Linked DNA regions of Arabidopsis thaliana. The protein of the gene in region 2 interacts with the protein of the main gene of each other region in a pairwise test. Each region holds a gene or a part of one and is shown on either strand. Other genes may lie near its edges. The genes, in order: AT5G05800 and SAC52.

Evidence for each region.
Region 1: the proteins of SAC52 (region 2) and AT5G05800 interact in binary tests that used the Arabidopsis thaliana proteins (3 or more experiments, as listed by UniProt).

The regions. Positions count from the first base shown.
Region 1 is NC_003076.8:1,742,293-1,747,228, reverse strand, and holds AT5G05800 (Myb/SANT-like DNA-binding domain protein), read left to right. Parts: upstream 1-1,983; 5' UTR 1,984-2,092; exon of another isoform or gene 2,093-2,447; 5' UTR 2,448-2,477; coding exon 2,478-2,783; intron 2,784-2,863; coding exon 2,864-3,352; intron 3,353-3,440; coding exon 3,441-3,995; 3' UTR 3,996-4,235; downstream 4,236-4,936. Other genes in the region: ATL43 (RING/U-box superfamily protein), read right to left, coding at 1-453. UniProt on the Arabidopsis thaliana protein: Transcriptional repressor that associates with ribosomal protein promoters.
Region 2 is NC_003070.9:4,886,192-4,890,267, forward strand, and holds SAC52 (Ribosomal protein L16p/L10e family protein), read left to right. Parts: upstream 1-1,922; 5' UTR 1,923-2,078; coding exon 2,079-2,088; exon of another isoform or gene 2,089-2,238; intron 2,239-2,357; coding exon 2,358-2,859; intron 2,860-2,954; coding exon 2,955-3,036; intron 3,037-3,148; coding exon 3,149-3,217; 3' UTR 3,218-3,513; downstream 3,514-4,076. Other genes in the region: AT1G14310 (Haloacid dehalogenase-like hydrolase (HAD) superfamily protein), read left to right, coding at 20-93, 217-310, 415-481; AT1G14315 (F-box and associated interaction domains-containing protein), read right to left, coding at 670-1,186, 1,348-1,742.

The DNA.
Region 1 (4,936 bases), on a different chromosome or scaffold from region 2:
AGCGAGACACACGGCGCACTCTAAACCATCCTTGTGACCGCTTAATGCACCAAACCGGAAAACCGGTAAAGATTCAATCACGGACCGGTCTATACCGGAGTTTTTCCTTCCTCCTACTACTCCTCCACCGTTGTAATATCCTCCTCCGTATCTAGTGATTGCGAAACGCTGCGGGTGGTTTACGTAAACGCTGCCGTTTCGTCGTTTACAGTGTTTGACGTAGAGGAGAAGTAAGAAAGTGAGAGAGAAAAACGCAGTGAGGACGGCGATAACGACTGCGATTCCGGGCATGAGAGAGGAAGTGAAGTTATGCCGTGGCGGTGGAGAAGGCGGAGGAAGTGGCGGTGGAGTATCTGAGGTTGTTATAACAACCGCCGTGTGATTGTCTGCGAGTGAGACATTGAGAAAGAGAGAGAGAGTAGAGAAGAGAAGTATCAAGGAAGAAGAAGACATGGCTTAAAGGCTTCTAGTTGAAAGAGAAGGTCTTTAGACTTAAGAAATGGTTATTTTATTTTCGTATATTTATTTTGAAGTGCCTGAAAATAAGGGAGACACTTTTGTGAGTGTGTGAGATAGGGAGAGAGGTTTTTATAAAAGGGAAAGAAAACAAAGTGAATGAGGACAAAGAGGATGCATTAAAAACATGACTCCCTTCTTTCATCTTTCATGCCTTACAAATTTGATTTTAGGAACTACTATAGTAACCAACATTTTTTATTTCATTTTAAATTGAATTCATTAATGGAAATTAATATATAGGGACACATATCAATGATGATATCTATAGAAATTGTTTTTGGAATTTTCGTACTGATCATAAATTCTGACTCTAAACAAATATAATGGCTAGCACAGAGTCGATAACAGCATAAACTAGAATCAAATCATCAATGCATGTCTCTTAGCCCTTTTCTCTATCAAAACTAAAGACTACATGCCAAACCACCGAAATCATAACCAAACTCTACTTTGGATTGAGGTTTTTTCTCCCATGCTAAAGAGTAAAGACTACATGCATTTTAAGATAATAAATGTTAACATCATAGTCATGTGTCTGCTGCTTTCTCACGATGTCACACTAACGGTTTAGAGAGTGCAATCACATTTTAACCGTTGAGACAAAATGTTTGTTAGAATCTCAACTTTTCAGTCACATTTTCAAGCCATATATATGTCTTCCTAATATATTTTTTTGGTAAAAATCATGTGTTATGCCTCGTTATCTTTCTCTCTCGAAGATTTTCTGTATAACACAAAAAGTAAAGTATACAAGATTTATAACGTGTTAACGCTAATCAGTCCACAAGAAAACCACGAATAGAAAACAAGAAAATACAAAGTCCATAACAGAATAAGCAAAAGAAATCATAAAAAAAAACGAGTAGAAAGCAGTTTGTTCCCTAGTGACGATTTGGGGGAGCTGGAGCTAGCTAGCTATTTCTGTACCATTATTTCTTAAATTTTGGACTAATTTCCATTATTTTTGTATCTGGATTTATACGTTACGGCCCATTTAAAGCAAATGTTATTTATTATTTGGTCGGCACCATTTAAAGCAAATCTTATTGCTGGAGTCCCCTATTAATTTTGGTAATCGTGGTCACCCTCCCCCACAAACTATATCTATACTTATCAATGATGCCGATAGTCACCTAAATATATTTGATTGGAACAATAATCACCTTTTCGATAAACCCATATTCAATTCTCCTAACTCCTTCACATAATCAGCTATAAAAATGTTTCGATAAGAAAGCAAAAAAAACATCTAAGTCGAGCAGAAATTTGAACAAAATCAAGACCGGACCCAACGCAAACCAGTCTCACAGTCTGTGTCCTCTTAACCAATCAGAGTATCTCTTCAAACGGAAACAAATAGTCAGGCAAGAACCGGTGTAATTTATTGGGCTATGACCCATGACCAAAGAACTCGGCCCAGCCCATAACTCTTAGAAAAGCCTTGGAAAATCCGTACAGCGCGGCGCAAACGCAAAAAGCAGAGAAAGAGAGGAAAAATCGCGATCGGCTTCTTCCAGCCACACCCGTCACAGAGTGGCCACTCAATCGCTGTCGCGTTTCCATCAGATTCCCGGTAACGTTTTCCCTTCTTCAGCTTCCCAATTCCCGCCGGCGAAATCCTAACCACTATCGTAGTTTTTCAGTCTCCCGATTAATCGAGTTAGGGTTTCGTGCAATTTTCCCCATTTTCGTGTTCGGTTACTACTGGGATTTTGAAGTAGGCGAAGTCTCAGGTCGCAAAATCATATTTTTCCCTGAAACACGTTTCAAGTAATTGCGTCTGCGTTCTCTGGTTCAATGCCTTGTTTATATGATTTGTGTTCAATATCTAGAATTGTTGGGTTAATGTTTATGCAAATGTCTCTGTCTCTCTGTGCTTTTGTTAAAAACGAGTTCACAATGATAAAGGTATCGTTTTTAATTGTTAGGAGTTTTGGAGAACAGAAGTTAAAAAAGAAATGAGGCCAAAAGCAGTGTGGGAGCCTGAGTATCACAGAGTGTTTGTTGATTTATGTGTGGAGCAAACGATGCTAGGGAATAAACCAGGGACACATTTTTCGAAAGAAGGTTGGAGGAACATATTGATATCGTTTCAGGAGCAAACAGGCGCCATGTACGATAGAATGCAGCTTAAGAACCATTGGGATACAATGAGCAGACAGTGGAAAATATGGCGTAGACTCGTTGAAACTAGTTTTATGAATTGGAACCCTGAGAGCAACAGGTTTCGTGCAACTGATGATGACTGGGCTAACTATTTACAGGTTTACAAATCAAAACCACTTGTTACATTCATTTTTGTTGATTTTATAAAATGCTAAAATGTGATTGCTTTGTGCCGTAGGAGAATCCTGATGCTGGGCAGTATCGGTTGAGTGTTCCGCATGATCTCAAGAAGCTAGAGATTCTCTTTGCGGGTTGTAATGTAGAGGTGAAAAATGATGAAGTCTCGGGTGTAAGGAAGAGGCGAAGAAGTTGTTACGAGGAAGAAGATGAAGATAACCAAAGCATGTGTAGTTCATCTAACCCTCAAACAAAAGGGTATTGGTCTCCGTCTACACATAAGCTGTTTCTTGATCTGTTGGTTCAAGAGACTTTAAAGGGAAATAGACCCGACACTCATTTTAACAAGGAAGGGTGGAAGACGATTCTGGGGACTATTAATGAAAATACCGGCCTTGGTTATACGAGACCGCAGCTGAAAAACCACTGGGATTGCACTAGGAAAGCTTGGAAGATCTGGTGTCAACTCGTTGGAGCAAGTAGCATGAAATGGGATCCTGAATCTCGTAGCTTTGGTGCAACAGAAGAGGAATGGCGAATCTATATTCGGGTATGATAATGTTAGTTGTCTTAACTATTATCCTTCTCCCATTGGACTACATTTTGAACAGATAGTGTTTGTCTTTGGTTTATTACAGGAAAACCCAAGAGCAGGACAATTCCGCCACAAGGAAGTTCCTCATGCTGATCAACTTGCAATCATTTTCAACGGAGTGATAGAACCTGGAGAGACATACACTCCTCCTTCGCGTTCGCGCAAGAAGCTCCTCCACAATCGTTCTGAATCACCACAATGGCGTGACACAACTCCATTATCAAAGATGCACGTAGATGAAGCAGAAACCTCCAGGCAAAATGGTTGTTATGCAGAGTCTCAAGAAGATCGGATAGACAGTGAAAACGCTCAACCATTGGATGATATGAAGTTAATGAATGACGTTATGTTGCAGGAAAGTCCGGTATTCGTTGAGATTGAATCGGCAAAGCCGATGTACAGCATTGGAGAATGCATTAAAAGCCTCAACGCAATTGAAGAGGTCGAACAAGGTAGTGAGCTCTACATGTTTGCGTTGGACCTGTTTCTGAAGAGAGAGTATAGAGAGATCTTCTTAGAGCTGAAGAAGCCCAGTTTGAGAATCGCATGGTTGCAGAGACTTCAATCTACTTCATTTCCTATTCCTACTACAACATAGGTTCAAGTGTATTTTACAAGCCATCCTTTTTGTACTCTGACCTCTGTCTCTGTCTGATGTTATACCCAAAAGAATCGTTCTTTGTTAGTTCTATGAATATGGATTATATAAAAACAGACAGGTAGAGAATCATGTTGATGAACCTTTGAATTGCCTAATTCTTAAGTGGTTTGTGTTAGAATTGTTCTCACTTTCATTCATTAGGAGAAGATATTTAGCATTTAGTTCTATGCATATTACGAGAGAGCAGAACAAGGTTTGGGACACCGACAACAATGGAGTGTGTGAAAGGGGCTTTTGAGTGAGAGTTGATGATTAGAATCTTTTTTGAATTAAAAAGTAGATAAAGCGAGTGACGACAAAAAACAGTACCCAAAGTGGGCAAAAAAAGGTTTAGTCGCATCCCAATAATTAATTACCCCTTTAAGGTTAAGGAGTAATTTTCTAAAAAGTAAGAAACTAAAATTAACGCGCCAGGTAGGGGTCGAACCTACGACCTTCTGCTTAGGAAACAGACGCTCTATCCACTGAGCTACAGGCGCTTCTGCATTTATTATATTTATTCTTTCTTTTTCAATCTTGTTTTTGTGGCGGCTTATGAAATTTCGTAGAAGTATCATTTTCAAGTGGTACGAAATACAAAAAAAGACATAAAGAATAAAGTGTCGTTAAGTTTAAGCTTACGTGTTATCTCGAATAACATTAATTAAGTTACATCTATAAACAATTTGTAGCAATCGCATTGTTTTTGTTAAGTAAAGCAATCGCATTGTTTTTGGTTTTTTTTAGTAAATTTGAAGTTTTTCTCCTTATTTTATGTGTGTTTTATGATTAGTTAAGCCTTAGACATAGCCGACGTATAACACGTAAACTATCATTAAGTATGAACAACTTTATGTGTTGTCGCTTTTATTTTGAATAATATTAGAGAAAAACTACCT
Region 2 (4,076 bases):
ATGCTTGCATCTCTTGCAGGTTCGATGCTGTGATTGTATCCGCAGAAGTCGGATACGAGAAGCCTGATGAACGAATCTTCAAATCTGCGTTAGGTATTGGCATATTGCATTCTAAACTGAAGTGTTGTTTCGTTTAAATTATAAGAAAGGTTTCAGAGTTAACATTTTGTGTCAAGCGGAGAACAAATTAACGTTAACATTTTGTGTCAAGCGCAGAACAAATCAGCGTAGATGTAAACAGAGCAGTGCATGTCGGAGATGATGAAGGAGCTGATAAAGGCGGAGCAAACGCCATCGGTATTGCTTGTTGGTGCGCCAAATATACTTTTCATCTTGTTTTTTCCGAGGTTTTTAAATTCTCATCCATCATAACACATAGTGCTTTTTGTTTATCTGTTTTCTTTGAAAATTTAGGTTGTGGGGAGAAGATGTGCAGACATTTTCGGACATACAAAAGCGGATCTTGGTTTCAGAACTCTAAGCTTCAAAGATTTTGTTCTGCAATATTTTTCAGACCCTGTACACACTTACTCAATCAACACTGTAATCTGTCTCTTTAAAAATTTAATTAATAATGAAAAAGCTGCAAACTTGGACAACAAGAATCTAAAATTTAAATCAAATAGATGGATCCACGAGAAGCAAACAAAAAGAAGAAAATGGTGAAAGTTACAATATAGAGATTAAACTCTCGAAATAACAAAAAACACTATCTCCGCAACGATAGGTGCCTATGGAAACTGAATCAACAGATTTGGTTTTGATATCATATATCATCAGCTGTCTACTATTTGATCTAGGACAACACAAAAGCTTATTCTTCTCCAAAATGGCTACTGGTAATGATTGCGTAACACTACGATTCACTATCGAATATATTTGTTCCCAGGTCTTGTTCTCTGAATTGAACGACCATATTATCATTTGTTGGAGAGGTTTACTAACCGATAAGCACAAACGGTTATTCAGGCTGCGTGTGATAATGTTTCTATGATCTGCTTCCGCAAAAGGAGCTTTAGAGATAACTTGAAAAGTTTCGGTGTGGAGATCTAACGCTAAAACTTTAATTTCTTTCTTCCCGGTTAACCAATAAAGCGATCCATCTACATACAGAGCATGCCCCCGAGACGAGGAAGTATTAATCCGATAAGGAGAAGAAGGATTGATATACCTCCAAGTGTTGGTGCTAAAATCAAAAACTTCACATGTAGTAGCGTTTTCTAGGCCAAGTTCGGAAGAGTTATACATAACCAAACCGGTTTGTATATGCCACTGATTTTGTCTTTGCCAAATCCAAATTTAACGTGACTAAAATAACTTGGCTGCTCAAGACAGATTTGTTGCAACCTGGAAACAGGGAAACGTCGATGCCATCGAGTGGCGGGATTATAAACAATGTTGTTTAAGGTTTGGTAATCAAAGAGGCAAACAAGACCGTCACAACTATTGTGGAAAAGTTGGTAAATATGATATCGTTCTGATGATATCAACAACACGTTAGTTTTAAGTGGAGGAGAATCAGCAGTAACATGATGGGGCAACACCAACGTACTGGGTACTTCAGACACCAATACAAGATTTAGATCTTTCCCGCCAGCTGAGCAGATCAACTGTTTCGCCTGGAAATATTGAGATTCGATTGTCAACTTCCATTGTTTGCAAGCAGACTTGAATCTGAGCAGAGATTTCACCGGAACTCTCTCAAGAATATCCTCAACGGTGTCGTGGGGAAGCAATTGCATTATTTCTCTGTCTATTGAGAGGATTTTGTTCTGAGTGATGGATAACATGAAAGATATGCTTATTTGTATCAATTCAATCCAATGTTGATTTTTTCCTTGAGGAGGAAGATAAAAAAAAAAAAACGTATATACAATCGATGGGCCCTAACCCTATCCCTAACAAATCTCTTTAATATGTAATGCGCTTTAATAGTTAAAGCCCATTAGTTAAAAACCCAGAGCTATATTGTTGACCTAGCAAATTTCGGATCTATAAATTGAAGCCATTTTCTAGGTCATTAGTTTTTTCGTCGAGCAGCCGCGCTTTTTGGCCGAGGAAGGATAAAGAGAGACGCCATGGGAAGAAGTAAGTTTCTCTCGATCTCTTGTGACTTCTCTGTCAGGATTTCTGTGTTCTTCCGATTCCTCCATGGATTTAATTAACCAAATGTTCTCTCTTTGTTGCGATTTTGAGATTCTGCGATTCAGTTTTTCTATTCATCGGATAAATGATTAGGTTTATATAGTTTCTCTTTAGATACCAATTGATTGATTAGGTTTTTATATACTGTGATGATTTTGAGCTATATGAGTTTGGTCTGAGCTGAAATCTGAATAATCTGAATATTGATTTAGGACCTGCGAGGTGTTACCGTCAGATCAAGGGTAAGCCATACCCAAAGTCTCGCTACTGTCGTGGTGTGCCAGATCCAAAAATCAGGATCTACGATGTTGGTATGAAGAGGAAGGGTGTTGATGAGTTTCCATTCTGTGTCCATTTGGTGTCATGGGAGAAGGAGAATGTGTCAAGTGAAGCACTTGAAGCTGCCCGTATTGCTTGCAACAAGTACATGGTGAAGTCTGCTGGAAAAGATGCTTTTCATTTGAGGATTAGGGTTCATCCTTTCCATGTTCTCAGGATTAACAAGATGCTTTCGTGTGCTGGAGCTGATAGGCTTCAGACTGGTATGAGAGGTGCTTTTGGTAAAGCTTTGGGTACTTGTGCTCGTGTTGCTATTGGACAGGTTCTTTTGTCTGTTCGTTGCAAGGATGCCCATGGTCACCATGCTCAAGAGGCTCTTCGTCGTGCTAAGTTCAAGTTCCCTGGTCGTCAAAAGATTATTGTCAGCAGGAAATGGTATGTTCAAAGATTGATCCTTGAATCATTTTGTTGTTTGATTGTTTTATGGATACAAGTAAGCTAACTCATCAAGTCTTTGACTTTTTTTTCAGGGGCTTCACGAAGTTTAACAGAGCTGACTTCACCAAGTTGAGGCAAGAGAAGCGTGTTGTCCCTGATGGTGTCAACGCTAAGGTATTATTGGCTTTACATCAGAATTGTCACTCTTTGATCCTATAGCAGTGATAGTTATCATTGGAAATATCATTTGTTGTTGAATTGAACAATGTTTTCGTTTTTTTTTCAGTTCCTCTCATGCCATGGACCTTTGGCTAACCGTCAGCCGGGAAGTGCCTTTTTGCCAGCCCACTACTGAAGAGTATCAGAACTGAAGTATCCTTCTCATTCCGGTGAAGAAGAATTATAATCAGCCTGAATCTTTTTACTTATCGTTATCTCTGGTGTTGTTTTAAGTTTTTAGTTGGACACAATCAGTATTCTGAATCTTTTTGTGACTCTTTTGTTTAAGCTCTGAAATGATTTTGTTCCTTCGTTCTTGGCCATATATCTTTCATTTGCAAGTTTTATCATGGCTTTAGCTTTAAATATTTTAATTGAAGATTTGCTTGAAAATCGTTGAAGTTTTAGATAGAGATGGGTGATTGCCTTGTTGGATCATTTAGTATGCATAAAAGATTTGAAATTAGCATAGCAAGCCCATCTTAGGTATTGTCATGCAAGGCTGAGAGTTCAAAGAGAAAATGACAGAGACCTACCTACACGTCAAAATCAGATGCAAACTGCCATTTTCCTGATTAAGTCTATCTTTGTTTTTTTTACTTTTCAAAGAATTAATTGCCATAATTTCTGAAGAAGGAAGCAAAAATCCCAAAACAGAGAACCAAGAGAAAGGAGAAAAATTGAAAAGTTTATGGTATTACTTGCAAGCAAAAGATCAAGTTATCTTGCAAACAACAACTATAAGATTAAAAGCTCTTTTTCTTCTCTTATCAGAGAATTGAAAGAAGAACACACAAAACACATAATATAGTCTCTTTGCGAAAAAATGAATGAAACGAATATAAACAAAAATTTTAACAAATAGTATAGCAGAACTGAAAAACTCTAGATTCTGAACTTTCTCCACCAAACTTATTACAAGACCTGTTTCTGTTCTTTCCAAGAAACTAACAATACCACCAAGATGATTGTATCCAATTGAATTCAAATAAATT